Mytilus edulis: one gene and its partner. The protein of the gene in region 2 purifies or fractionates together with the protein of the main gene of each other region. This does not show direct contact. Links are inferred from orthologs where the notes say so. Each region holds a gene or a part of one and is shown on either strand. Other genes may lie near its edges. The genes, in order: ER membrane protein complex subunit 4-like and NADPH--cytochrome P450 reductase-like.

The links.
Region 1: the proteins of NADPH--cytochrome P450 reductase-like (region 2) and ER membrane protein complex subunit 4-like purify together in Homo sapiens (affinity purification with mass spectrometry; 3 studies listed by BioGRID and IntAct, with this or other methods). This does not show direct contact. The link is inferred for Mytilus edulis from reciprocal best matches to the Homo sapiens genes POR and EMC4.

Annotation. Positions count from the first base shown.
Region 1 is NC_092345.1:104,075,745-104,089,026, forward strand, and holds the start of ER membrane protein complex subunit 4-like, read right to left. Parts: upstream 7,523-13,282; 5' UTR 7,443-7,522; coding exon 7,334-7,442; intron 1,041-7,333; coding exon 616-1,040; 3' UTR 1-615. UniProt on the Homo sapiens protein: Part of the endoplasmic reticulum membrane protein complex (EMC) that enables the energy-independent insertion into endoplasmic reticulum membranes of newly synthesized membrane proteins.
Region 2 is NC_092349.1:17,111,711-17,128,661, forward strand, and holds the start of NADPH--cytochrome P450 reductase-like, read right to left. Parts: upstream 6,558-16,951; 5' UTR 6,429-6,557; intron 1,416-6,428; exon of another isoform or gene 1,211-1,415; intron 1-1,210. UniProt on the Homo sapiens protein: This enzyme is required for electron transfer from NADP to cytochrome P450 in microsomes. It can also provide electron transfer to heme oxygenase and cytochrome B5.

The DNA of each region.
Region 1 (13,282 bases), on a different chromosome or scaffold from region 2:
ATCAATTGTGAATTATAATTTCTTTTGTACCTTTACTCTTTAAAAACTGAGCTAAAACCCATTTAAAATCAAAACAAAAGTTGTGAATGTAAATTAAAATTCTATTTGTTTCCAATTTTGAAGTTGAAAATACTATAAACAGATAAATCAGAATAACAGCCATTGAAAATAAGATTCATGTAAAACTCAATTAAAGTACATGTAGGACACAACATAATAACAAAACAAGACAGACAACACAAAGATCAGAGACGAGTACTAGAGTACTTGACATAAATTTATTAATATATCAGTACAAATAATTCATTCTTTTCATTCTTTTATATGTTAACACCTCTTTTGATAAGCATGTACATATTTTTGTTTTAAAAAGGGAACAATATAATATTTATTGCACTTGTACATAATCTAGTTTTAAATTTCTGGTTGTGAAAATATTGTCAGGAAATGTATTTTTTTCTTTTTCTTTCTTTGTCATACTTTTTTTGTAGAATTTCAATATTTTGTTGAGTTGTAGTTTGGACATTATTCTACAATGGAAAAAAATATTTCAAATGATAGTTCTATCTCTTCCTGTTGCAATCGAAAGTCTGTAAAATAAACACATTAAATTTGTTAAAATGCTGCTCCGCCACCTGACCATTCCATTCTATGCTGGGCCTCTACAAATGCTAGCCAATCAGATGAATGTGTTGGTAAAAGTCCCATCACCTGACATTTATAAACAGCCAATACCAGGCAAACAATATTTCCCAAGATATATACAGCTTTTTGAAGATATGAGCTGCTTCCTTCTATTGTACCAAATGTAGCCTGAATACTTATCAAAGCTTGAAAAGGTCGGAAAAACATCATCCCAACCATCATAATAGGAAATATTGAAATAGAATTTCCTGCCATCCACATGATGAAAAAGTTCATAGGGATCTGTTTGAGAGGTCCTAGTGCAATATCCCATGATCTTTTATCAATGAGTTTCTGTGTATCAGGACTATCCTCCTTGTCATCATGTCTGGCTACTGTAGCATCTTCATTGTATCCTGCAAAAATCAAGAATTTTAATACCTATATCATGTCTATTGAATCCTAGAATAAAATAGCTATAGGCTACATGCTTACTTTAAGGGGGTCTCATTGGGGGGTTCTGATTACTGGATCCCACTTACTGTTTTGTCAGATTCCCGTATCCCGTTGACACTATGTAAGTAAGCCATTCTAATTTTTTGTAATTTCCCATGTCCCACTACACTTTATTTCCTGTTTTCACGGCACAATAATTTGACTTTCACATGTCACTCTTACAAAAAAATCGGCAAAAAATCCCGCGTCACGCTTGGACCCCAATGAGACCCACCTTAAATAGTTTGATTAAGTTGGATTTGATCAAAAGGGAAGGTATTGCATGCTATTTGTTATTGAAAATTCACAAAGAAATTAGGGCCTGTAAACTTTTAGCGAGTTTGGTGCATTGTACATTTATTTTATCATGTTTATACTCTATTAAAACATTTTTAAAAGAAATAAGATAAACATTTAAAAAAAAGCAGTAGATAACCTTCTGCCTCGTATGGAATAGTAGCATAATTTATCATTACTTCAAGAAATAATTGGAAATATTTTGCACAAACTAACACATAAAAGGTAAGAATGTGTGTCTATGATTCTTTTATGGCTAATTTGGGTCTCAAATGTGAGCACAAAATTGCCTCTCAAAATCAAAAAAAATAACTCCAGCGTTATAACGTCGCTGTAAGCAAGGAATTGTATATTTAAAAGGAATGGAAACGCGGCTCTAGAACAATCTGAAACCTTATTCTATCGTTATGCACTTTTTTAAGTTTCTGGTAACATTTCTGAATTTTCTACAATTTTTCGAAATTTCAGTTTTGAATTTCATTATTCTGTCAAAACATGACTTTCAATCTTGAGGTGTAATACCATTTCTTCTAAATATTGGAAAGTAGAAAGAACAAAGTGAGAAAATGAGATATCGTTTTAAGGAAGGAGTAATTTCCTACAGTTTGGTCTAAATTACGAATGCTTAATATCATTGGTACAACTTAAATGATTTTATTTCGAAACATGTTGAAAATTTTAAGTAGTGCATCAATATATACACCAACACGCCGTATTCTGGTAATGGTTAAATATCTACTTGGAATAGCTGTGACATTGACATACAATTTAAAAGCTTAATCTTTTATCTATTATATAGTGTTGGTTTTATGAAAATGGTGATAAAAACGAATTTGCTATTATTTTTCAAAATCACTTGTTTATATTTCACTTTGACCCCAATTTGTTCAGTCACGTTTTGCACTGACGAAGTTGGAAATTACAGGCAAGAAATGTATATAAGACTTTCTATTGGGATTGATTGTGCCGTTTTATATACAATTTTATTTCTTTATTTTTGTCAAATACTATTTTTATACTTTATCGTTGATTGGTATTGCAGTTTTTCATTGTTAAGCGTTGCCGCAAATTACCATAAGCTTAAAAGCAAAACAGTTCCTTCCTTTTTTCTCGAAGAGCAGTAGTTTAAGAGTTCGAAAATACTCCTTTGGCATTGTTTGGTGTTAAAATAAATAATATGTGAATGTGTGAAAGTTTTAACTGTTTCTAGTTAAATTTTGTATGGCACCACCACATGGTTTAGAATTAAATTAATTAACAGGTGTGTTAGCCGTTATTTGTTTTTGACACCTTAAATCAGGGACAACCTATAGTTAGTATACATTGTTCCTGCTTTTATATATATACGACAAGAATTAGCTTATCAATGATACATGATAGGTTATACCTGCAAATTGGATATCTTGACTACCTGAAATTTTACCTAAAACACTTACATGACTTATTTATAACAATCTTTGGTACATTTCCACGATCAGATAAGTGTCACATACTATCTCACAACACAATCATCTGTAAATACTTACCCCAGGACCACCAGGAGGAAAATGAACTTTTTTCAATTTTGATTCGAAACTCAAACAGATCGAAAACTCATCACGAATACCACTTCCGGTCTAGTTCAAAACATAAACAATGTCAGTGTGGTTCACAGTCATCTATTTCTACCTGGCTACGACGGTAAGACAAACACACCATAGCCCCTTACATATACAAACAACTAGATATACGTCCAGAGAATACTCAATCTCTCTGATTCCTGTAACAACTATATCAACAGACACATGTTTATATCACTGGATTAAAATCACAGCTAATTACAGGAGTAACGAGAAGTTACTTAAAGATAAGAACTCTGCATATATAAAACTGTTATTATTAATAGGTGGTATTGAAAGAAACCCAGGCCCAAGAACTCCAAAATACTTGTGTGCCATATGCGACAAAGCTTGTCGGTGGGGACAAAAAGCTCTTGCATGTGATGAATGCAATAATTGGTACCACGCACCTTGTACAGGCATTGACTCGAAGGAATATTCAAGCCTTGCAAATATATCAGCTTCATGGTATTGCGTAGTATGTAACGCTCCTAACCACTCAACTGTTTTCTATGATCTGATTGATTCAGCTGATAGCAACACCTACTCAGTGTTATCATCATGTACATCAGAAGTGAGCAAAACTGATTTAAATATATCATCTGAAATTGACACTAGTATAGGTGACCCTATAGCATCATCATCACCAAAACGCTCAGACACCCATACTAAAAGCCAGCAACAATCCAACAAAAAGTCACAGAAGCAACTCCGAGTACTGCTTATCAATTTTCAAAGCGTAAAGAATAAAAGAAATGATCTCCAGGTTATGCTGGAGTCCGCTCGTCCAGATATCATCTTAGGAACTGAAACTTGGTTATGCGACAAAATCAACACAAGTGAAATTTTCCCCCCAGAACTTGGTTACGATGTCATACGCAGGGACAGGAAAACAGACGCCCATGGAGGAGTCCTCATAGCAGCAAAGACAACACTTGGACTTAGCCATCTTAAATCAGGGAAAGACACAGAACTCATATCTGGGAGCATCAACATAAACCAGAAAAAGAAAGCCATAATAACCTGCTTATATAGACCACCAAATAGGCTTGATCAACAAACTGCAAACAATGCAATACAAGACATTACTGATCTACGCAAAAAACACAAAAGTAGTATTTTCATCCTTGGTGGAGACTTCAACTTACCAGACATTGACTGGAAAAACTACACAATACAGGGTACTCAAACATCAAGAGATATTAACAACGCATTTCTTGAAATGGCAGCCAACCTAAATATACAACAGTTGGTGGACAAACCAACCAGGGGAGATAACACCTTAGATGTGCTTTTTACATCCCATCCAGGCCAACTCAATAGATGTAAAACCATACCACCTCTCGGGAACAGTGACCATGATATTGTTCTTCTAGACTTTTCACAAGGCTTACAAAAACCCAAACAGCAAAAGAGAAAAATATATCTATGGAAAAAAGCTAACATCGCCATGATTAATCAACACCTCAAAGAAAAATACAACATCTTTAAAAACACAGATTTTGAGGATGTCAACAGTCTTTGGACCAACATAAAAGGCTTGATTTTAGATGCCATCAACCAACATGTACCAACCAGGAACACCTTAACAAAACATTCCCACCCATGGATGAACTCAGAGCTTAGACGACTCAGTAACAAAAAGCAGAGGGCTTATACCCTTGCCAAAAGCAGTGGGAAAACAAGAGACATAAAGAAATACAAATTTCTGAAATCACAACTACAGAAGGAGGCTAGACAAGCACACAGTAACTACATGGAAGATATAGTAAGCGACGACTTGCAGAAAAACCCTAAAAGATTCTGGTCATATGTGAAGAGCCGGAAACAAGATGCATCCCAGATTGTGACCTTGAAGTCAAAAGATGGCTTCCTACATAGTGACACAGATACTAAGGCATCTATACTGAACCAGCAATTCCAGTCAGTGTACACCAAAGAAGATACCAGTACGCTACCTGACCTAGGCACAAGTCCACATCCAACCATGGACAATATCGTCATCCATGAAAGAGGTGTCTACAAACTATTAAAGGGACTACGACCATTCAAAGCAACAGGCCCTGATGAAGTTCCAGCAAACATTCTCAAACAGGCAGCTGAATCACTAGCTCCTTATCTTACCCGGATGTTCCAGCGTTCCCTGGACGAGGGTAAGATTCCAGACGAATGGCGGAAGGCAAACATCGTGCCAATCTTCAAGAAAGGAGAGAAACACCAACCCTCTAATTACAGGCCTGTGTCATTAACATCCATAGCATGCAAACTGCTAGAGCACATTATACATAGCACAGTCATGGATCACTTTGATCGACATAACATTCTATGCGACGAACAACATGGTTTCAGAAGTCGACGTTCCTGTGAGACCCAGTTAGTGGTAACACTAAACCATATTGCCAAAAACATGGACCAGGGGCACCAGACTGACATCATCTTACTGGATTTTTCAAAAGCCTTTGACAAGGTACCACACGAACGCCTGCTTTTGAAACTGGCATACTACGGGGTGAAAGGATCAACATTGAACTGGATAAAGGACTTCCTAAGCAGTAGAACCCAGTCAGTTGTACTAGAAGGACATACATCATCTCCTTTAGATGTACTATCAGGAGTTCCACAAGGGACAGTCTTAGGTCCTCTACTATTCCTGACATATATCAACGACATGCCAGATTGTACATCTTCAGATGTAAGGTTGTTTGCAGACGATAGCCTGGTGTACAGAAAAATTAGAAATCCTGATGATGCTGCAACTCTACAGAGAGACCTCACTGCTCTGGAAGAGTGGGAACACAAGTGGCAGATGTGTTTCCATCCAGAAAAGTGCACAGTTATGAGGATATCTAACAAGCGCAACACCCTGCAAACAACATACACCTTGCACGGACACCAACTAGAAGTTGTTGATAGCGGAAAGTACCTTGGAGTGACCATTAGTCAAGACCTACAGTGGAATAAGCACATTATTAACACCACAGGGAAAGCAACCAGGACCCTCGGTTTTCTCCGCAGAAACCTGGGCCGATGCAAACCATCTGTTAAAAACACAGCCTATTGTGCTCTCATCAGACCATCGATTGAGTACGCTGCCACAGTGTGGGACCCCCATCAAACCACATTGATCAAAGACAGCGACCGGGTACAGCGTAAAGCAGCACGATTTGTCTACAACCAGTACACAGACACTTCCCCAGGGTGCGTCACTGGATTATTAGACCAACTCCAGTGGGATCCCCTACAGTATAGACGAATTAAACAGCGACTCGTACTATGCTACAAGATACAGAACCAACTAGTGGAGATACAACCAGCTATCTACTACACACTTGGGGACAACAGAACAAGGGGTGGCCACAGACTTAGACAGATAAGAGCTACTAAGGAAGTATACAACAACTCCTTCTTCCCACGCTCTATAGACTATAAGGGACTGGAACCTTCTGCCAGACACAGTAGCAGCTGCACCAACACTCGAGGAGTTCAGGGCCAAATTAGCCAGTGTGCCCTGGACCCAGATGCAGCCTAACTAGACATCAGTTTGCCAAATTGTACAGTGTAAATAGTTTTAATTATTTTGTTAATATTCACTTTTAATCAATGGAGAAGCCTCCTGTTTTACCGAGCGGAGTTAGTAAATCACTCAAATATGAGGTCAACTCCTTAACGGAAGAAGAAGAAGAAGAAGATATCCCATACCGGTGTTTATTATAACACCTATAATCTAAGTTCTTTTGTCTAGCTAAAATACAACATCTGTTCACATACATGTACTTCCCCTTTTATACTTTTCTACACCAGTCATATTCCAAAATGGAAAAGTTTTTTTTAAGGTTATCTTTTTTTTAAACTATTTGTATTGCCTTTCTTTTAAAAACTCGTATAATGTTGAATTTCATCTTTAAATTGACCTTAAATTTTGCATACATTCGAGAAATATAAAGACGAGGAATAAGAATAAAAATGTTTTTCAGAAGAAACTTTGTTTAAGGTTGTATTTTCTGTTTATTTCATTTAAAAAATTGTATATCTAAATTGACAATTCCTTGTTTCATTTCATGATTAATGACCAAGTTTGATAACTGCTACTGGATAAGTAACGAGCCAGTTTGTGCGATGGGGTGTAATTAACACGGTCTAAGTCAGAGATGCATAAGCCGCGTTTCCATTCCTTTTAAATAAACAATTCCTTGCTGTAAGGCGTCAAAACAGAACCATATAAAGCTTCATAATTATTTGGACTAGTTCACACGAATCACAATAATTTGTTTCTTAGTAAATCTCATACGATTGTAAAGAATAAGGATCAAATGTTTTACCCATTGGTTTCCTTAAATCTGTGTTTAACTGAACCAGTGCTTTTTCTCCTTTGGGTCTACCAATTCCAGTAAAGTCGATTGACCATTTGTGCAACTTTCTTCGTGACATTTTCTGTTTTACCTGGTACCCGTTTTGTATTTGAATCGGCAAACTGAATGCCAATTCAACCAGGATCCAGTTATTTTAGTTCCGCAGCATAAATGTATCTATTACCCAGTACTTTTATTTCTAAATTACATACCCTAACGTCCTTCATTATTTGTGTTGAAAAGTTGCAGCAATATTATATCAAGGACTGGATTATATATAGCACCAAAGTATTTTGACAGATCTTTGACTATATTTTTCAATTGAAATTACACAAAAGTAAAAACACAAAAATACCGAACTCCGAGGAAAATTCAAAAGGAAAATCCAAAATCAAAAGGCAAAATCAAAAGTCCAAACACATCAAACGAATGGATAACAACTGTCATATTCCTGACTTGGTACAGGCATTTTCTAAACAAGAAAATGGTGGATTGAACCTGGTTTTATAGCTAGCTAAACCTCTCACTTGTATGACAGTCGCAACAACTTTGTGAAAAACTATTTGGAAGAATGTCATATGTTTTTAAGAAGCGTACATCGACCAATCCTTTAATTTAAAGGGGCACTAGCTACGAGATATATAAAAAAATCGAAAGTTTGATTTTTTTCTGTTCAATCAATAATGAAAGTGAAATAGTGAAATAACAATTCGCTTTTTGCAGCCCAAAATTTTCAATGTTGTCAAATTACGCTAAGAAACATTGATAATTAGTTATTCACTTGCAAGTGAATGAGTCGACCTCTTTAAATCCGTATTCAGTCATGTAACTTCAATTTAACCTCTAGCTAGAGATTGACAACGCATGTATTGTACGTGTACTGGTTATTTAAAGAAAAAGAATTTCAACAATGAAAGTGAAACTACGGTAAATCATTAATTTTGATTACTAATTCGATGCCGACATAAAATCATTCTTATACGGTTAAAAACAATGAGAAACATCTATTTTTAATCTATAAAATAAAATCAAACAGACTTTTAAAAATCCAATTGCAAGTGTTGGTTTATCAATGTTTAATCTATACCTGTTTTAATCTATTCATATCTTTATTTATGTTTTCATCGCTTATATGGTCATCTGAGGTCAAATCGATAGTTAATTAGATGGCGTCTGGATTAGAATACACACGAAACGAACCTATATATTATCTACCCGATGCTCTGTAAACTGTTTATCTTATACTTTTGATAGTTTGGATAAATGTTAAAAATACATTGTTATAAATCAAATATGAGAATTTGAGTCAAATCGGTGACCATGAATGTGACATTTAGTGCCCCTTTATTAAAAAGGGTAAATAAATGAAAGTATATACAACATAATCTCTTTTAAGGCTGTGGTGTCTTCCTCAATCTTGAATTTTAAATAGCAGATACCAATTGGTCTAGATCTTTATTGTATTGTGTCGAAAACAGTATGTTATTTATGTGTAAGACTTTTCATGTTCACATAGAAAATGATGTGTTGTATCATATCACACTTTACTAACACAACTAGGAAGTGACTTCAACATTAATGCAAAATGAGCGTGGATTTCGCCACACTTGTCAGCTCAACCATAGTCTATAACGCCTTCTAACATATACGTCAAAGTAGGGGAAAATTTTCCCCTACTCGTCAATACAATAAAAGCGTCGATCTCGACACACTTTACTGAAGAGGCTAAATATATGTCATCATTTATCCGAGAGTAAGCGTGGATCTCGCCACACTTCACTGAAACTTACTACAACGCAGCCCAATAAAGATCATTCAATAAAGTCATATGAAGCAGTAAGCGTGGGTACGTGGCCACACTACACTGTGTAATGCAGATATAAGTTAACTGTCTTAAGTAAAACCAGCCAACCTGCAGAAGAACGATTTCTTTTGATCATATATATACATGTAAATAAACTGTAAATATTTTGGAAGAGTTTTAAATTTTAAAGGAGTAGGTCCGGTAAGGACCGATTTTGGCCTCAAATTTCAGGTTCATCTTACGAAAGATTTTGACCACTTTTCAAACACTAAAGTGTCTATTTCATTTGAATCAATTAATTTATTTGAAAGATTTTAACTGATTTAGTCATTAAAAACAACCCGATTTAAGCTCAAATATGAAAAATCTACCAAATATGCCGAAAAATGTCACTTTTCAGATGATTTTTGTCAAAAATGAAAGTGGCCGCATCCGTGTTCATCCTCAACCTTTATATATGTTATGTATTATCATAAAATACAACTTACATTTCAATATTAAGGATGAACACGAATGCAGCCACTTTCGTTTCACACGAAAACTGTCTGAAATTTAACTAAAATGCTAGAATTGTGAAGATTTCAGTAATTTAGTACGACTTAATGGTGCTAGTACCCGATATATGTGCATTGTATTGTCAAAAACAGCCCATATTTATGTAGCAGAAGCATTCTACTGTCCAATAAATAACTAAAAGTTTACATTTTAACAATTTTGTAAAACTGCTATATTTTGGGGCCAAAAAGGGGTCTTACTGGACCTACTCCTTTCATGACATTGAACTAGCTTATATTTTTATGCCGGTACATATGTATATACAAAACACTTTTAATATTCTTTTTAATGATGATAGATGTCTACCTGTGTGAATTTTTTTTTAAAACATTAAGATATATGTACTTTTGATCTGGTAGTGGAATACTCATTGATTAAGGTGTTCCTTTATTGGAGAAAGTTATAGAATACAAGTTACAAGAGACATATATAATATGTCTCTGTATTATATGTATCTGATCATATTTACAGCTGTATTTTGCAACGCAAGGGTAGATAAATCAGATATAACGGTGATTATAGCTCAGATCTGGAACTATTATACTAGTATAATAGCCTCAGCTCAAAAAAGGTGTTTTTATAATAGACTGTGTGGTGAATTTACCCATTTTATAAAAATTAAGAATGGAAATGGGGAATGTGCCAAAGAGACAACAACCCGACCATAGAAAAGACAACAGCAGAAGGTCACCAATAGGTCTTCAATGTAGCGAAAAATTCCCGCACCCGGAGGCGTCCTTCAGCTGGCCCCTTAACAAATATCAGATATACTAGTTCAGTGATAATGAACGCCATACTAAATTCCAAATTATACACAAGAAACTAAAATTTAAAATAATACAAGACTAACAAAGGCTCCTGACTTGGGACAGGCGCAAAAGTGCGGCGGGGTTAAACATGTTTATGAGATCTCAACCCTCCCCCTGTACCTCTAGCCAATGTAGAAAGTACACGCATAACAAAACGCAGTGTAGATTTCTTTTCATCACACACAATTTTGTTTTTCATGATGACAATATATACAAATTCTAACCTGTAGCGTGAACAAAATCCCGTTGAACCCCATACTTTTTATCATATTTTTGAAAAAAAACATGACAAAAACTACATTTTGATCAATTATTAACAAATTCTAAGGATTTAGATTTAAAAAAGACCCCACCCACAGTCCACCTCCATCCCATATCTATCTGAATACAAAATAAAGGTACAAATGTATGACTGAAACTTCTTTTATTACATGACCGAAGTGATTTCTTGTAATAAGTATAATTGTAAATCTTTAGTATAATGGAGGAAATAAAGAGAATCAATCATGGCCGAAACGACCAAGGCCGAACTAACCAAGGTCCAGTTTAGCTCCATGACCGAAACCTCTTGCTACCGAGACGTTTCGGCCAAGAATCTGTTCGGTCTTTATCGTTTAAGCCATACACAAGTTCGGTCATGGTCGTTTCGGTCCATTATACTTTTTTTCTTATCAGTGTTTTGAATAATAAGATAAGTAAGTTATTATATCTTAATATAAATGTAAAATCACAAAAATACTGAACTCCGAGGAAATTCAAAACGGAAAGTCTCTAATCAAATGGCAAATTTTAATGATAAAACACATCAAATGAATGTGATATAGACTTTCTTAATAAATATAAGAGCAGATTGATTGAGATAGATTTGTAAAAGCAAATTTGCTTGTTTTTGAAAAATGGCTTTTACTTCTACTTCTTCCCATACGCGGCCACGATCAATAAGTTGGTTATTTTGCCACTTTTGGATGCGCATTTTAAATTTCGACAAAAAAATGAATTGTGCAATACATTTTCCTCTTTGTGAATGGAGGTGTGCCTTCATTGGCAGAACTACGATAACAGATTACAGAATACATCATATATACAGTGAAAAAACATCTTGGCGTTAATCTAGTTCATTTCATGAAGCCCGATTATCTCAGATGGTGCCATTAAAACAAAATACATATATGGTTTGGCGATATCTGGCCACAGCTTTTATTCATAATATGATAGATTCATACAATATATAATATATATATATAGATAGATAGACCATAGACCCATGTATATGTAGATAGATCTATGGTCGGTTACCCGAAGATAATATGGCAACCAGGTAGATAGATAGATGTGAAGATAGATATATATGAAAATGTAAAGATGCACCGTGGGATACACTGGTGCTTTAAATTTAGAAAACACCGTGGGATACACAAGTGTAGTCTGTATTATCCAAAAACCTAAAATTTCATAGTTAACATTAAGATTCTATGCAGCGAATTCTGCCATTTACGGGAATATATTTATGATGCTCAAAGTTCAAATAAAAGTCACTTTTCTCAACAGCAAACAAGTTAACATCATCAGTCAAATCTGTATCATCACTATCACCGACACAAACCTGAAAAATAAATACAAAAGAGCAGTATCTTGTTCAATAAAAAGGAGTGGGAGGGCGGGTTTTCAAGTTTACCGCTTACAAAATTTAAACAGCTTGCTTGCTGCGGAAAATTCTAAAAAGGACTAAATGACGTCACAGAATATATCGTCACACATGTTGGGTAAATCTAAAACATGAAACACAATCCGTGAGTGGCCCCGGCGATAACTGAATTTAAGTCTATTAACTTAAATTCTATTATCTCAGATGGTGCCATTAAAACAAAATACATATATGGTTTGGCGATATCTGGCCACAGCTTTTATTCATAATATGATAGATTCATACAATATATAATATATATATATAGATAGATAGACCATAGACCCATGTATATGTAGATAGATCTATGGTCGGTTACCCGAAGATAATATGGCAACCAGGTAGATAGATAGATGTGAAGATAGATATATATGAAAATGTAAAGATGCACCGTGGGATACACTGGTGCTTTAAATTTAGAAAACACCGTGGGATACACAAGTGTAGTCTGTATTATCCAAAAACCTAAAATTTCATAGTTAACATTAAGATTCTATGCAGCGAATTCTGCCACATTGACGGAGGAAAACAGAGACTCTGTCAACCGCCATAAAAAGGGCGGTTCGCTGCAAAGCTGTGAACCAGATATGAGATAACTACAGATAGGTAGATAAATAGATATTTTTATTTAACGTACAACTTGGTAAATATATAAATATGTATATATATTAAATAATCTAGATAGATAGATAGATATTATTTAACGTACAACTTGGTAAATATATATATATTAAATAATCTAGATAGATAGATAGATAGATATTATTTAACGTACAACTTGGTACATATATATATTAAATAATCTAGGTAGATAGATAGCTATTTTATTTAACGCTCAACTGGTCCATATATATGATAAATGTCTAGATAGATAAATAGATATTTTTATTTAAGTACAACTGGTACATAATATATGTTAAATAATCTTGATGAAGTTTTGTGAACAACAAATTTTACCTACACAGATAAAAATACTTACCAAAACTACAGCAAACCACAAGATAGTTGATTGTAGTTGTAATCATAAAATATAGTATTATAGTATATCAACAAATAATATAAAGATG
Region 2 (16,951 bases):
CCAAAACCACTAAATGAAGTTGTTACCCTTGAAAAAGCTTTTTTTTTCACCAAACACAAAATTTGATGCCATTAAAGGATTTACTGTGAGTAAACAATAAGAAAATTGGGTACGTTAACCAATGAGAAAACAATACAACTAGGGATAAATGACATGAATATAAGAAATTATATAGGTCAGAATAGTCTTCATTAATAAGCAAAAACCAAACTCATTTTTTTCACACTGTTGTTATAAAACACATTAATGATAAAAGAGGGTTATTAAGGGGTTCAGGTCCCTTCAAGAGCTACCTATATGGTTAATGCATAGACTTTTAACATATCCGACTCTAAATATTGCCTAGTTTCGAGGCATGTCCCCCTAGTTTGGGGGCAATTGTCCCGCTCTAAAAATTGCCTAGTTTGGGGGCATGTCCACTCTCAATATTGCCTAGTTTGGGGCAATTGTTCCACCTAAAAATTGCCTAGTTTGGGGGAATGTCCCACTCTAAACATTGCCTAGTTTAGTGTAAACATATTTTATTAATTAATTTCAGGGAAAGTAATGTACACAAATAGGCATTTACATAATAATAATACAGGTGAAATAATTAAAAGGATCCAGAAACAAGCTGTTAGCTTATATATTAATCTGTTTCCTAATTTGAGGGTATGTCCCACTCTAAACATTGCCTAGTTTGAGGACATGTCCCACTCTAAACATTGCCTAGTTTGGTGGCATGTCCCACTCTAAACATTGCCTAGTTTGGTGGCATGTCCCACTCTAAACATTGCCTAGTTTGAGGACATGTCCCACTCTAAACATTGCCTAGTTTGGTGGCATGTCCCACTTTAAACATTGCCTAGTTTGGTGGCATGTCCCACTCTAAACATTGCCTAGTTTGAGGACATGTCCCACTCTAAAAATTGCCTAGTTTGGGAGCATGTCCCACTTTAACCATTGCCTAGTTTGGGAGCATGCCCCACTCTAAACATTGCCTAGTTTGGGGGCATGTCCCACTCTAAACATTGCCTAGTTTGAGGGCATGTCCGACTCTCAACATTGCCTAGTTTGAGGGCATGTCCCCCTTTTTCAAAATCCTGAATCTGCATCTGATTTGTAACTTTTAACATGCAAAGGAAACACATCAAGGACGTTAATCCTATTCTTAAGTACATTTAAGTTAAGTAGAAAAACAATGTAATACAAAAATTAAACCACTACTTACCGTTTAAAGCATAACCTTTTAATCTGTGGTTTAAGATATCACTCATTTTGAATTTCAGTGAAATTTGACCTACATGTACTAAAAATTACTACAATGTACCTTCACCATGTTCATAGTTAAAGGGAATATACATAACTATAAGCAAACAGTACGTTTAAACTCTTTACAATAAAGTCTTATGCAATTTTTTAAGAGTATTACAACCTATATCATGTATAGAAAGTTGATCAATAAACTGTTTTAATTCAAGGGACTATTTCAAAACAATAAAAAGTATTCCTGTAATATAGCAAATTTACAATTTGCTGTTTACTCCTAAAAAATATGGGTTTACAGGCTATAATTATGAAAAATATTTGGTTTGTTTTTCATGTTGGTAATCTGTTTTGAAGTAGCCAATAAAATCAGCCCATCAGTTTTCTCTTTAGAAGGTTTACATTTGCCTATATTTTACCATGCAGGGACTTTTGATAGTTTTATATTTACTGTATGGGAAACGCAGTGATGTCACCTTTACAATGTAGATTTTAATTACATCATCTTCATTTTGGACTCTGGTTGAAAGTTGTCTCATTGTCAAACCTTTTTTTTTAATTTTATTTAAGAGTCACTTATAACTTCTACCTTTCCCCAAAAGGATGATCATTTAAAAATACCAAAAGTTGTGCTCACTGTTGAATGCAGTAATGTTTCCTGTATAATGTAGATGTTGGCATCCCCTTCAATTTGGCCTCTGGTCAGGCTGGTGGATAGTTGTCTCATTGTCAAACTTTTTTTTTAAGAGTCACTACATTGTAATAACTTCTAGATTATTTGTCTCCCAAAAGGCTGATAAATTAACATTTAAAAATACCGTACTGTAAACAACTATAAAAAAAAAAGAAAAAAAAAAAATCTGAAACAAAAAGTCTACATTGTAAATGTATTCACTTACCATGCTTACCAAAAATCCAAGTACCGGTAATAATTTAACTCCAAAATTTATGTGAAACATGTGAAAGCATCTCCAGCAAGCAACAAATAAACATATACGAAGGTCAAAAATAATTTAAACTAAACAACCCTGAGAAAATTAATACCACTGATACTACATACTGGTATTATATAAATCAAATTTTCATAAAATGAGGGAAGCCATATGAACATGTTGGTTCTCTAATTTCATATCAATTCTGACATTGAGAGTTCATGATTTCAAGTACTAAACACAATACATTATTTTCCTTACAACGATTTGTTCTAACTTGACAGGTGTTTGACTTATACAGGTCAGGTTACAAATGAAGGTAAGAATATTGGTTCTCATACAAGATATAAAATAACAATATGAGAGGTACAAGAATTTATACCGTAACTATACATTGACACACATTGACAAATCGAAATTTATATATAGGTGTTTTTAGATGCACCCAGATAAGTTTACAAGTTCTATCTACTATTCCAGCTAGATATAAACCTCCCTTCTGTATTTTCTGTACTCCGCTGTCCCATTATGAATTTCAACTTCTAAAAAAATTATGCAATATCTCAGAGTCAATACACCATGATGAAAAGGCGAGGGGCATAATATTTGCATGGAAATGAGGCTTAATTTGAAAATGCTACTAGTACATGTACCCGTAATACAACTGCATACCAAATATAAGTGAATTAATTAACATATGGTGGTGAATATGGTTGGGAATAGCAAAAGAAAAACAAAAGTAGACTAGTTACGCTTTCAACGATGGTGTACATTTCAGACTTGGGGTAATTGTAATTGTAATCATTAATCAGCTGTAATTGATTACAATTTTTCAAGTAATCATTGTAATCATTAATCAGCCAAAATTCTGATTACATGTAATTTAATTTAATCAATTACTTTTCAAAATGCCCTGTAATTCTGATTACATTTTGATTACATTCTGATTACAATGAAAAAATCTTGAACTGTGTTTATGGTTAATAAATGAACCTTTTTGTTATTCTTATTCAAGAAGTTAAGATAGTTTGGCTTACTTTATCAAGCAAGTTAATTGATGTGTATACTTCAGTAAAAAATAAACTGTTAAAATATTAAAAAGCCATCAAAAGCCTAAGATTGAAAAGGCCTTAGTAAAAGATATGTACATTTATTCACAATTCAAAGATGTACATATATATATTTGATAAAAAAACTGTTATATTTAAGCAATATTATACTTTTCTTTAACCCTGAATTATAATGTTTTGTTAATATTGTGATTATTGTCAACTTTGAATTGACAGGTAGGAAACCAATTAAGGTTTGTTTTTATTGCAATTTCCAATTGAGTATAGCTGTAGGACAATATATATATTATGATAAAAAATTAATCAGACATGTGAAAATTTATCTAATTAGCACAAACTCAATTAAAAGTTGGACAAATATCTTGTTTAAAATAAGCTAATTTTTGTATGTACTTGGCCTGGAAATGTAAAATGCATTGACTTATGGTAATTGTATATTTTTACAATTTGTTTGAACAATTCTATTAAATTTTTACATAATTTTATCTGGTAACTTTATTTCAACCATATTTTAACTTCCAAAAACTGCACCTTGAACTACATATAAAGTCTGGAAGAGGTCAGAAGACAAACAGCAAACTCTTTATAAAGCCATATTCAATTGAAGTCAAAATAATTCAGAGATCAATGAAGATAATGTGTAATGGGTGACACAATGTTCATGTATGTCTGTAGTGAACTTTTGTGGTTTATCAAATAGATCAAGTTTGAAGTTATAATTTTAAAATATGTAAAACAAAACCTTTCTAGAAAGAACTATAGTTATATTAAACGTTAATTCATTCACATCATTCAAAATGTTTTTTTTTAATTAATTGTAATCAGATGTAATCATGATTACTTTGCCAATGTAATCATTAATTTAATCAGACACTTTCAGAAATGATGTAATCATTAATTTAATTTAATCGTACAAATGACAAAGTAATTGTAATTTAATCAATTACATTGAAAGTAATCGGACCCATCTCTGGTACATTTTTGCATTTTTCTTACAATGCAGAACCATGGTGGGGATTGTTTGATGATTGGGGAAGACAGTCAAACTATCATGGGGTGGGCCATAACAAAATTGGTCATGGAAATGCCTGTAGGTTTGGATGGGGTTTAATGATTAAAGATTAATGCCCTTAAAAAAAGGGGGTTAATTTTTTAAAGATTACATTGCTGATTAATTTAAATTTGCACTGTTTAATAAATGAAAAAAAATGACCTTTTTCTTTTTCAGTATTTCATCAACATGATCAATATACATGTTCAAATAAAAATATAATAATTAGGATTAAAATAAAATATTTTATTTCTTCAAAAGATATATATTGTTACGTTTATATTTTGATTTGCATGTCTCAAAACATGGGCTGATAAGTAATGTGATGGAACTAATATAATGAATCTATCAATTGGTCACTAATCCTGTCCGTATAATTTGCTTATAGTTACAGATATGCTACAGAAAAGATAAATGTTTTGATATATATTTATATATATGAATAATACAGAATAGAGAAAAAATGGTCAAAAAATTATGACCAAAGCCCCCCCCCCCCCAAAAAATAAAAACCCAGTTGACAGTTTAACACTGATTTTCACCATAAATCAAAAGACCCCCTTAACCTAAAAGTCCAAAAGACAGAGGTCATGTATGTAGACAGATCATGAGTAGGTATTTAAGTTTTCAATACTAGGACAAATTATAATTGTGTCATCTTTTTGCCTTTGAGTGAGACCCTACTCTGTGAAAGATTATACATTAAATGTACAAAAAAAATGAACAGTTACACAATAGACTCAACTTATAGCATCCTGTTTTGTTAATCTATATCAAAAGTGAGGACAGGCAATGACAAAATATGTAAAAGATAAATGTGTGGTATAAACAATTTCCTACGATTCTGTAACCAAATGAAGATATGCAGATTGACTGTTTCTATTTGTATGAAATAATTTTGATGATCATTTATGACCCATCAGGTAAAAGCTTAATTGAGGTGGTTAACTTGTCATAAATTTGTCACCAGTTAAAAATTTTGCACTTTACTTTTTTTACTTAAAAATTACAAATTTGAATGCATGAATAACAAGAATTGATCAGAAATCATGAGATTTTCTTCATTTCATAAATGAGAAAATGTCAAATACTAGCAAAAAAAAATGCACAGTGTACATACAGGATGGTTAACTTGGAATAAATGTACGTTAATTAATCATACTGTACATGTAATGTTGTATTTAAGGTTGCCCGTTCACGGTTAGGTATGTCATATTGGTTAGGGGGCAGATTTTCATAATGGAGGTACAAATGGTGTGAAAAATACGGGAAAACATTGTTAAAACAGAGCAGTTGTTTTGAAACATGCATCCACCTCTTTCAAAATAATCTGCCCCCTATCCAGTATGACCGAACTAACTGTGAAAGGGCTTTCATAATATCAAGTTATGACTCCAGAATTAACATTTTTCGATAGGTGTGGTAGAACATCCAGGTACTTTGTCAAGCAGGAGCAATGTAATTCAGTAAACCAAAGATTTTAATCAGTCCATTTTGAGGGAAAGTTGACTGTTCAATGCTTTCTACACATAACAAAATCATCAAAAAATAGTAAATTTCCTCCCAAATTGCACAGATCATATATTTGATTCTACTTATTTTTGGATACTCATAATTGACAGAGTACCTGGATGTCCCACCACGGAGTACATGAAGGTAACCTGTCAAATAATTTTAAAACCTGAAGTCAAAAGTGGATAATAATATGAAAATGGTACAAACAATGTACAAGTAGCACATTTCATTTTTGTTATTGTGTCAGGATCTTTACATCAATAGTCAGAGTTAAACAAACTTGTCATCGAAATATGCCTTTTTATAGAAATGACACAGTTTACATCATCTATTAGAATGATAGAAATTATGGAAAGGTCATAATCTAGATCGACAATTTGTCACGTAATCATTACGATGAGAATTTTATGCCGCTTAGAAAAGTAACATATTAAGGCTTAATCATGTTTACCACAGTATAAAATAATGACATTAAGATTTAAAGCCAGTATATATACAATGAATTAAAGATTTATCACTGTAAATACAATTTTACTTCACTAATCACTATGGGTCTCGTCCTGCAATTATCCTAATTCTACTGTTTATACTTTGTTTATGCTAATTATACATTACCTGGCTTGTTCTAAGTCGTATGATGTAAATAATTAATAAACTTGTTTCATGGATATTAGTAGAGATTCACAGATTTTACATAACCCTGGCCTTGGGCCTAAATCCTTCCAATGGGTTAACGAAAATTATCACCGGATGTGAGAAAGGATATTTATAATAAATCTTATCCGAAAGTAAGCCGTATTTTTTCCGAATTTCACTATAAGGCTCTGGTGGGATTTTTAAGTCAACGGTTATTTATCATAAGCAACTGATTTAATTAAGGGGGTATTTATACTTGGGGAAACTTTTTTTAATCGACCAAATCAAATAAGCAATAAAGATAAAGTCAAGCATAAATTAAAAAAAAAATACACCTGTGTCTAACCAGGGAACTTATGCCACTCTGAATATATCCTATACATATTTTCTTGTTAATTCGACCTGTTGATACTCACTGTTTATAATGTTTTTTTGTTATTTTATATTAATATGGATCTTGTCTATATATACCAGCTTTGATTATTTAGAATATCTTCTAATTTTCACTTTTTCTTACTACATTTGTATAAACTTCAAGATTTACCTGTATTATTAAAACCGGTTTTTTTTCAAAAGTGATTATTTTCGAAGGGTTAAATGTTTTGCAGTGGTTTCTTGCCATGGCTTTGCTTGGACTTGTTTGTTTGTATTTTGGCCTTGAATGTTTGTCCCTAATATTTTATAAACTGTGCATTTGCATTTAGATATCACAGATCAAATTTAGTCGTTCATATATATATAGTGTGTTAATTTACGTTTTTTGATTGAGTTAAGCCTGCCAATTGATATTTTATCGTGTGTTTTTCAATGTTGTGATCTTATGCTATTGTTTAAATTCAGAAAAAGGGAGAAGGTTTGGTACCATTAAAACGTTTAATCCCGCCGCAAATGTTTTTCACCTGTCCTAAGTCAGGAATCTGATGTACAATAGTTTGTTTATGTAATTTATACGTGTTTCCCTGGTTTCTCGTTTTTTTATATAGATTAGACCGTTGGTTTTCCCGTTTGAATGGTTTTACACTAGTAATTTTGGGGCCCTTCAGTATAGCTTGTTGTTCGGTGTGAGCCAAGGCTCCGTGTTGAAGGCCGTACATTGACCTATAATGGTTTACTTTTATAAATTGTTATTTGAATGGAGACTGCGTTGTCTCATTTGCACTCATACCACATCTTCCTATATCTGTATAGAATAAGACTGAAGCTGTCGATTTGAGTTTGCCAATGAGATAATTATTCAACTGAAACAAAACATGGGTGGATTAAGGGTAGGAACCAGAGCGGACCCCCTCTTAGGTAGTCAGTCCCCCCTTACACACACAAAGGGACACAACTACAAAAATTCTGGATCCGCCACTGCAAGCGACTTTTAGCAACTCTAGTATTGTTGCTACGGCTTCACTAAGAGCAAAACCTATCCTATCAAGGTTCCCATACGACAAATTTGAAACAATTTAAAACCAGGCAGAAGCTAGCGAACAATAGCTAGCGAACAATAAGCCATCGAACAATAAGGCGATATATCGAGAAACCAAAAAACAGAATAAGACAACAACGGCCGTTAAATAAAAAAATATTTAAAAAGGCAGAAAATCAGTTAAAATATAGCAATTTAAACTCAATTTTGAAATGGTTTTTATCCAATCTATTGATTTAACAAGTCGCATAACTTTTTAGGCTAATATTCAGTACCACAATAACTATGCATCTATCAACGGATTATTTGTAGGTGTAGGGCCACCTATGCACCCTCTTCAATTTAGAACGTATGTAAAAGTAGTCCTACCCTGTAAAATATAGCACCTTTTATGTCATTGTTTAATCTAGAGCTCAAAATTTGAAAAAAATGTCAAAAAATTAGGAGGGTCGGCCTATTCCAGGGCTTCTAGAGAAAAATAATGAGGGGTTTCACGGGGAATGACTATATAGGTCTTGTAGAGGAGAAACAGGCGCTTCTTTTGCGCTAGGTATCGAAGGGCGCTATGTTCAAAAATCTGAAACTAGAGCTCAAAATTTGAAAAAAATGTCAAAAAATTAGGGGGGTCGGCCTATCCTAGGACTTCTAGAGAAAAATAATGAGGAGTGTCACGGGGAATGACTATATAGGTCTTGTAGAGGAGAAACAGGCGCTTCTTTTGCGCTAGATATCGAAGGGCGCTATGTTCAAAAATCTGAAACTAGAGCTCAAAATTTGAAAAAAATGTCAAACAATTAGGGGGGTCGGCCTATTCTAGGACTTCTAGAGAAAAACAATGCGGGGTGTCACGGGGAATGACTATATAGGTCTTGTAGAGGAGAAACAGGCACTTCTTTTGAGCTAGGTATCGAAGGGCGCTATGTTCAAAAATCTGAAACCAGAGCTCAAAATTTGAAAAAAATGTCAAAAAATTGGGGGGGTCGGCCTATTCTAGGACTTCTAGAGAAAAATAATGAGGGGTGTCACGGGGTATGACTATATAGGTCTTGTAGAGGAGAAACATGCGCTTCTTTTGCACTAGGTATCGAAGGGCGCTATGTTCAGAAATCTGAAACTAGAGCTCAAAGTTCGAAAAAAATGTCCAAAAAATGGGGGTAGGTTCGGCCTATTCCAGGAGTTCTAGAGAAAAATAATGAGGGGTGTCACGGGGTATGACTATATAGGTCTTGTAGAGGAGAAACAGACGCTTCTTTTGCGCTAGGTATCGAAGGGCGCTATGTTCAAAAATCTGAAACTAGAGCTCAAAATTTGAAAAAAATGTCAAAAAATTAGGGGGGGTCGGCCTATTCTAGGACTTCTAGAGAAAAATAATTAGGGGTGTCACGGGGTATGACTATATAGGTCTTGTAGAGGAGAAACAGGCGCTTCTTTTGCACTAGGTATCGAAGGGCGCTATGTTAAAAAATCTGAAACTAGAGCTCAAAGTTCGAAAAAAATGTCCAAAAAATGGGGGTAGGGTCGGCCTATTCCAGGAGTTCTAGAGAAAAATAATGAGGGGTGTCACGGGGTATGACTATATAGGTCTTGTAGAGGAGAAACAGGCGCTTCTTTTGCGCTAGGTATCGAAGGGCGCTATGTTCAAAAATCTGAAACTAGAGCTCAAAATTTGAAAAAAATGTCAAAAAATTAGGGGGTCGGCCTATTCTAGGACTTCTAGAGAAAAATAATGAGGGGTGTCACGGGGAATGACTATATAGGTCTTGTAGAGGAGAAACAGGCGCTTCTTTTGCGCTAGGTATCGAAGGGCGCTATGTTCAAAAATCTGAAACTAGAGCTCAAAATTTGAAAAAAATGTCAAAAAATTAGGGGGGGTCGGCCTATTCTAGGACTTCTAGAGAAAAATAATGAGGGGTGTCACGGGGTATGACTATATAGGTCTTGTAGAGGAGAAACAGGCGCTTCTTTTGCACTAGGTATCGAAGGGCGCTATGTTCAAAAATCTGAAACTAGAGCTCAAAATTCGAAAAAAATGTCCAAAAAATTGGGGTAGGGTCGGCCTATTCCAGGAGTTCTAGAGAAAAATAATGAGGGATGTCACGGGGTATGTTTATATAGGTCTTGTAGAAGAGAATCAGGCGCTTCTTTTGCGCTAGGTATCGAAGGGCGCTATGTTCTAAAATCTGAAACTAGAAATCAAAATTTGAAAAAAATGTCAAAAAATTAGGGGGGTCGGCCTATTCCAGGGCTTCTAGAGAAAAATAATGAAGGGTGTCACGGGGAATGACTATATAGGTCTTGTAGAGGAGAAACAGGCGCTTCTTTTGCGCTAGGTATCGAAGGGCGCTATGTTCAAAAATCTGAAACTAGAGCTCAAAATTTGAAAAAAATGTCAAAAAAATAGGGGGGTCAGCCTATTCTAGGACTTCTAGAGAAAAATAATGAGGGGTGTCACGGGGAATGACTATATAGGTCTTGTAGAAGAGAAACAGGCGCTTCTTTTGCGCTAGGTATCGAAGGGCGCTATGTTCAAAAATCTGAAACTAGAGCTCAAAATTTGAAAAAAATGTCAAAAAATTAGGGGGGTCGGCCTATTCTAGGACTTCTAGAGAAAAATAATGAGGGGTGTCACGGGGTATGACTATATAGGTCTTGTAGAAGAGAAACAGGCGCTCCTTTTGCACTAGGTATCGAAGGGCGCTATGTTCAAAAATCTGAAACTAGAGCTCAAAATTCGAAAAAAAGTCCCAAAAATGGGGGTAGGGTCGGCCTATTCCAGGAGTTCTAGAGAAAAATAATGAGGGGTGTCACGGGGTATGACTATATAGGTCTTGTAGAGGAGAAACAGGCGCTTCTTTTGCGCTAGGTATCGAAGGGCGCTATGTTCAAAAATCTGAAACTAGAGCTCAAAATTTGAAAAAAATGTCAAAAAATTAGGGGGGTCGGCCTATTCTAGGACTTCTAGAGAAAAATAATGAGGGGTGTCACGGGGAACGATCTCTAGGTCTTGTAGAGGAGAAACAGGCGCTTCTTTTGCGCTAGGTATCGAAGGGCGCTATGTTCAAAAATCTGAAACTAGAGCTCAAAATTTGAAAAAAATGTCAAAAAATTAGGGGGGTCGGACTATTCTAGGACTTCTAGAGAAAAATAATGAGGGGTGTCACGGGGAATGACTATATAGGTCTTGTAGAAAAGAAACAGGCGCTTCTTTTGCGCTAGGTATCGAAGGGCGCTATGTTCAAAAATCTGAAACTAGAGCTCAAAATTTGAAAAAAATGTCAAAAAATTAGGAGGGTCGGCCTATTCTAGGACTTCTAGAGAAAAATAATGAGGGGTGTCACGGGGAACGACTATATAGGTATTGTAGAGGAGGAACAGGCGCTTCCTTTGCACTAGGTATCGAAGGGCGCTATGTTCAAAAATCTGAAACTAGAGCTCAAAATTCTAAAAAAATGTCCAAAAAATTGGGGTAGGGTCGGCCTATTCCAGGAGTTCTAGAGAAAAATAATGAGGAGTGTCACGTGGTATGACTATATAGGTCTTGTAGAGGAAAAACAGGCGCTTCTTTTGCACTAGGTATCAAAGGGCGCTATGTTCAAAAATCTGAAACTAGAGCTCAAAATTCGAAAAAAATGTCCAAAAAATGGGGGTAGGGTCGGCCTATTCCAGGAGTTCTAGAGAAAAATAATGAGGGGTGTCACGGGGTATGACTATATAGGTCTTGTAGAGGAGAAACAGGCGCTTCATTTGCGCTAGGTATCGAAGGGCGCTGTGTTCAAAAATCTGAAACTAGAGTTCAAAATTTGAAAAAATGTCAAAAAATTAGAGGGGTCGGCCTATTCCAGGGCTTCTAGAGAAAAATAATGAGGAGTGTCACGGGGAATGACTATATAGGTCTTGTAGAGGAGAAACAGGCGCTTCTTTTGCGCTAGGTATCGAAGGGCGCTATGTTCAAAAATCTGAAACTAGAGGTCAAAATTTGAAAAAAATGTCAAAAAATTAGGGGGGTCGGCCTATTCTAGGACTTCTAGAGAAAAATAATGAGGGGTGTCACGGGGAATGACTATATAGGTCTTGTAGAAGAGAAACAGGCGCTTCTTTTGCGCTAGGTATCGAAGGGCGCTATGTTCAAAAATCTGAAACTAGAGCTCAAAATTTGAAAAAAATGTAAAAAAATTAGGGGGGTCGGCCTATTTTAGGACTTCTAGAGAAAAATAATGAGGGGTGTCACGGGGAACGACTATATAGGTATTGTAGAGGAGGAACAGGCGCTTCCTTTGCACTAGGTATCGAAGGGTGCTATGTTCAAAAATCTGAAACTAGAGCTCAAAATTCGAAAAAAATGTCCAAAAAATGGGGGTAGGGTCGGCCTATTCCAGGAGTTCTAGAGAAAAATAATGAGGGGTGTCACGGGGTATGACTATATAGGTCTTGTAGAGGAGAAACAGACGCTTCTTTTGCGCTAGGTATCGAAGGGCGCTATGTTCAAAAATCTGAAACTAGAGCTCAAAATTTGAAAAAAATGTCAAAAAATTAGGGGGGTCGGCCTATTCTAGGACTTCTAGAGAAAAATAATGAGGGGTGTCACGGGGTATGACTATATAGGTCTTGTAGAAGAGAAACAGGCGCTTCTTTTGCGCTAGGTATCAAAGGGCGCTATGTTCAAAAATCTGAAAATAGAGCTCAAAATTCGAAAAAAATGTCCAAAAAATGGGGGTGGGGTCGGCCTATTCCAGGAGTTCAAGAGAAAAATAATGAGGGGTGTCACGGGGTATGACTATATAGGTCTTGTAGAAGAGAAACAGGCGCTTCTTTTGCGCTAGGTATCGTAGGGCGCTATGTTCAAAAATCTGAAACTAGAGCTCAAAATTTGAAAAAAATGTCAAAAATTAAGAGGGTCGGCCTATTCTAGGGCTTCTAGAGAAAAATAATGAGGGGTGTCACGGGGAAGGCCTATATAGGTCTTGTAGAAGAGAAACAGGCGCTTCTTTTGCGCTAGGTATCGAAGGGCGCTATGTTCAAAAATCTGAAACTAGAGCTCAAAATTTGAAAAAAAGGTCAAAAAATTAGGGGGGTCGGCCTATTCTAGGACTTCTAGAGAAAAATAATGAGGGGTGTCACGGGGTATGAATATATAGGTCTCGTAGAGGAGAAACAGGCGCTTCTTTTGCGCTAGGTATCGAAGGGCACTATGTTCAAAAATCTGAAACAAGAGCTCAAAATTTGAAAAAAATGTCCAAAAAATGGGGGTAGGGTCGGCCTATTCCAGGGCTTCTAGAGAAAAATAATGAGGGGTGTCACGGGGAATGACTATATAGGTATTGTAGAGGAGAAACAGGCGCTTGTTTTGCGCTAGGTATCGAAGGGCGCTGTGTTCAAAAATCTGAAACTAGAGTTCAAAATTTGAAAAAAATGTCAAAAAATTAGAGGGGTCGGCCTATTCCAGGGCTTCTAGAGAAAAATAATGAGGGGTGTCACGGGGTATGACTATATAGGTCTTGTAGAGGAGAAACAGGCGCTTCTTTTGTGCTAGGTATCGAAGGGCACTATGTTCAAAAATCTGAAACTAGAGCTCAAAATTTGAAAAAAATGTCCAAAAAATGGGGGTAGGGTCGGCCTATTCCAGGAGTTCTAGAGAAAAATAATGAGGGGTGTCACGGGGTATGACTATATAGGTCTTGTAGAAGAGAAACAGGCGCTTCTTTTGCGCTAGGTATCAAAGGGCGCTATGTTAAAAAATCTGAAACTAGAGCTCAAAATTTGAAAAAAAATGTCAAAAAATTAGGGGGGTCGGCCTATTCCAGGGCTTCTAGAGAAAAATAATGAGGGGTGTCACGGGGAATGACTATATAGGTATTGTAGAGGAGAAACAGGCGCTTCTTTTGCACTAGAAATCGAAGGGCGCTATGTTCAAAAATCTGAAACTAGAGCTCAAAATTTGAAAAAAATGTCAAAAAATTAGGGGGGTCGGCCTTCTCTAGGACTTCTAGAGAAAAATAATGAGGGGTGTCACGGGGAATGACTATATAGGTCTTGTAGAGGAGAATCAGGCGCTTCTTTTGCGCTAGGTATCGAAGGGCGCTATGTTCAAAAATCTGAAACTAGAGCTCAAAATTTGAAAAAAATGTCAAAAAATTAGGGGGGTCGGCCTATTCTAGGACTTCTAGAGAAAAATAATGAGGGGTGTCACGGGGTATGACTATATAGGTCTTGTAGAGGAGAAACAGGCGCTTCTTTTGCGCTATGTATCGTAGGGCGCTATGTTCAAAAATCTGAAACTAGAGCTCAAAATTTGAAAAAAATGTCAAAAATTAAGGGGGGTCGGCCTATTCCAGGGCTTCTAGAGAAAAATAATGAGGGGTGTCACGGGGTATGACTATATAGGTCTTGTAGAAGAGAAACAGGCGCTTCTTTTGCGCTAGGTATCAAAGGGCGCTATGTTAAAAAATCTGAAACTAGAGCTCAAAATTTGAAAAAAAATGTCAAAAAATTAGGGGGGTCGGCCTATTCCAGGGCTTCTAGAGAAAAATAATGAGGGGTGTCACGGGGAATGACTGTATAGGTATTGTAGAGGAGAAACAGGCGCTTCTTTTGCGCTAAGTATCGAAGGGCGCTATGTTCAAAAATCTGAAACTAGAGCTCAAAATTTGAAAAAAATGTCAAAAAATTAGGGGGGTCGGCCTTCTCTAGGACTTCTAGAGAAAAATAATGAGGGGTGTCACGGGGAATGACTATATAGGTATTGTAGAGGAGAAACAGGCGCTTCTTTTGCGCTAGGTATCGTAGGGCGCTATGTTCAAAAATCTGAAACTAGAGCTCAAAATTTGAAAAAAATGTCAAAAATTAAGGGGGGTCGGCCTATTCCAGGGCTTCTAGAGAAAAAAAATTAGGGGTGTCACGGGGAAGGCCTATATAGGTCTTGTAGAGGAGAAACAGGCGCTTCTTTTGCGCTAGGTATCGAAGGGCGCTATGTTCAAAAATCTGAAACTAGAGCTCAAAATTTGAAAAAAAGGTCAAAAAAATAGGGGGGTCGGCCTATTCTAGGACTTCTAGAGAAAAATAATGAGGGGTGTCACGGGGTATGAATATATAGGTCTCGTAGAGGAGAAACAGGCGCTTCTTTTGCGCTAGGTATCGAAGGGCACTATGTTCAAAAATCTGAAACTAGAGCTCAAAATTTGAAAAAAATGTCCAAAAAATGGGGGTAGGGTCGGCCTATTCCAGGGCTTCTAGAGAAAAATAATGAGGGGTGTCACGGGGAATGACTATATAGGTATTGTAGAGGAGAAACAGGCGCTTGTTTTGCGCTAGGTATCGAAGGGCGCTGTGTTCAAAAATCTGAAACTAGAGTTCAAAATTTGAAAAAAATGTCAAAAAAATGGGGGTAGGGTCGGCCTATTCCAGGAGTTCTAGAGAAAAATAATGAGGGGTGTCACGGGGTATGACTATATAGGTCTTGTAGAAGAGAAACAGGCGCTTCTTTTGCGCTAGGTATCAAAGGGCGCTATGTTAAAAAATCTGAAACTAGAGCTCAAAATTTGAAAAAAAATGTCAAAAAATTAGGGGGGTCGGCCTATTCCAGGGCTTCTAGAGAAAAAAAATGAGGGGTGTCACGGGGAATGACTATATAGGTATTGTAGAAGAGAAACTGGCGCTTCTTTTGTGCTAGGTATCGAAGGGCGCTATGTTCAAAAATCTGAAACTAGAGTTCAAAATTTGAAAAAAATGTCAAAAAATTAGAGGGGTCGGCCTATTCCAGAGCTTCTAGAGAAAAATAATGAGGGGTGTCACGGGGTATGACTATATAGGTCTTGTAGAGGAGAAACAGGCGCTTCTTTTGCGCTAGGTATCGAAGGGCACTATGTTCAAAAATCTGAAACTAGAGTTCAAAATTTGAAAAAAATGTCCAAAAAATGGGGGTAGGGTCGGCCTATTCCAGGAGTTCTAGAGAAAAATAATGAGGGGTGTCACGGGGTATGACTATATAGGTCTTGTAGAAGAGAAACAGGCGCTTCTTTTGCGCTAGGTATCAAAGGGCGCTATGTTAAAAAATCTGAAACTAGAGCTCAAAATTTGAAAAAAAATGTCAAAAAATTAGCGGGGTCGGCCTATTCCAGGGCTTCTAGAGAAAAATAATGAGGGGTGTCACGGGGAATGACTATATAGGTATTGTAGAGGAGAAACAGGCGCTTCTTTTGCGCTAGGTATCGAAGGGCGCTATGTTCAAAAATCTGAAACTAGAGCTCAAAATTTGAAAAAAATGTCAAAAAATTAGGGGGGTCGGCCTTCTCTAGGACTTCTAGAGAAAAATAATGAGGGGTGTCACGGGGAATGACTATATAGGTCTTGTAGAGGAGAATCAGGCGCTTCTTTTGCGCTAGGTATCGAAGGGCGCTATGTTCAAAAATCTGAAACTAGAGCTCAAAATTTGAAAAAAATGTCAAAAAATTAGGGGGGTCGGCCTATTCTAGGACTTCTAGAGAAAAATAATGAGGGGTGTCACGGGGTATGACTATATAGGTCTTGTAGAGGAGAAACAGGCGCTTCTTTTGCGCTATGTATCGTAGGGCGCTATGTTCAAAAATCTGAAACTAGAGCTCAAAATTTGAAAAAAATGTCCAAAAAATGGGGGTAGGGTCGGCCTATTCCAGGGCTTCTAGAGAAAAATAATGAGGGGTGTCACGGGGTATGACTATATAGGTCTTGTAGAGGAGAAACAGACGCTTCTTTTGCGCTACGTATCGAAGGGCGCTATGTTCAAAAATCTGAAACTAGAGCTCAAAATTTGAACAAAATGTCAAAAAATTAGGGGGGTCACCCAGCAGCGGCATAACAAAAAAAACTCATCATAAATACCAGACGCGCGTTTCGTCTACAAAAGACTCATTAGTGACGCTCGAATCAAAATAATGGTTGAAAGGCCAAAATAAAGGACGAAGTTGAAGATCATTGAGAACCAAACATTCCTAGCAGTTTTGCCAAATACAGGTAAGACAGTTTATTCCTGGTGTAGAAAAACCTTAGTTTTTTTCAAAAATTCAAAGCGGTGTTAATTTATAAGATTATATTAATGATAAGCCAAGTCAACACA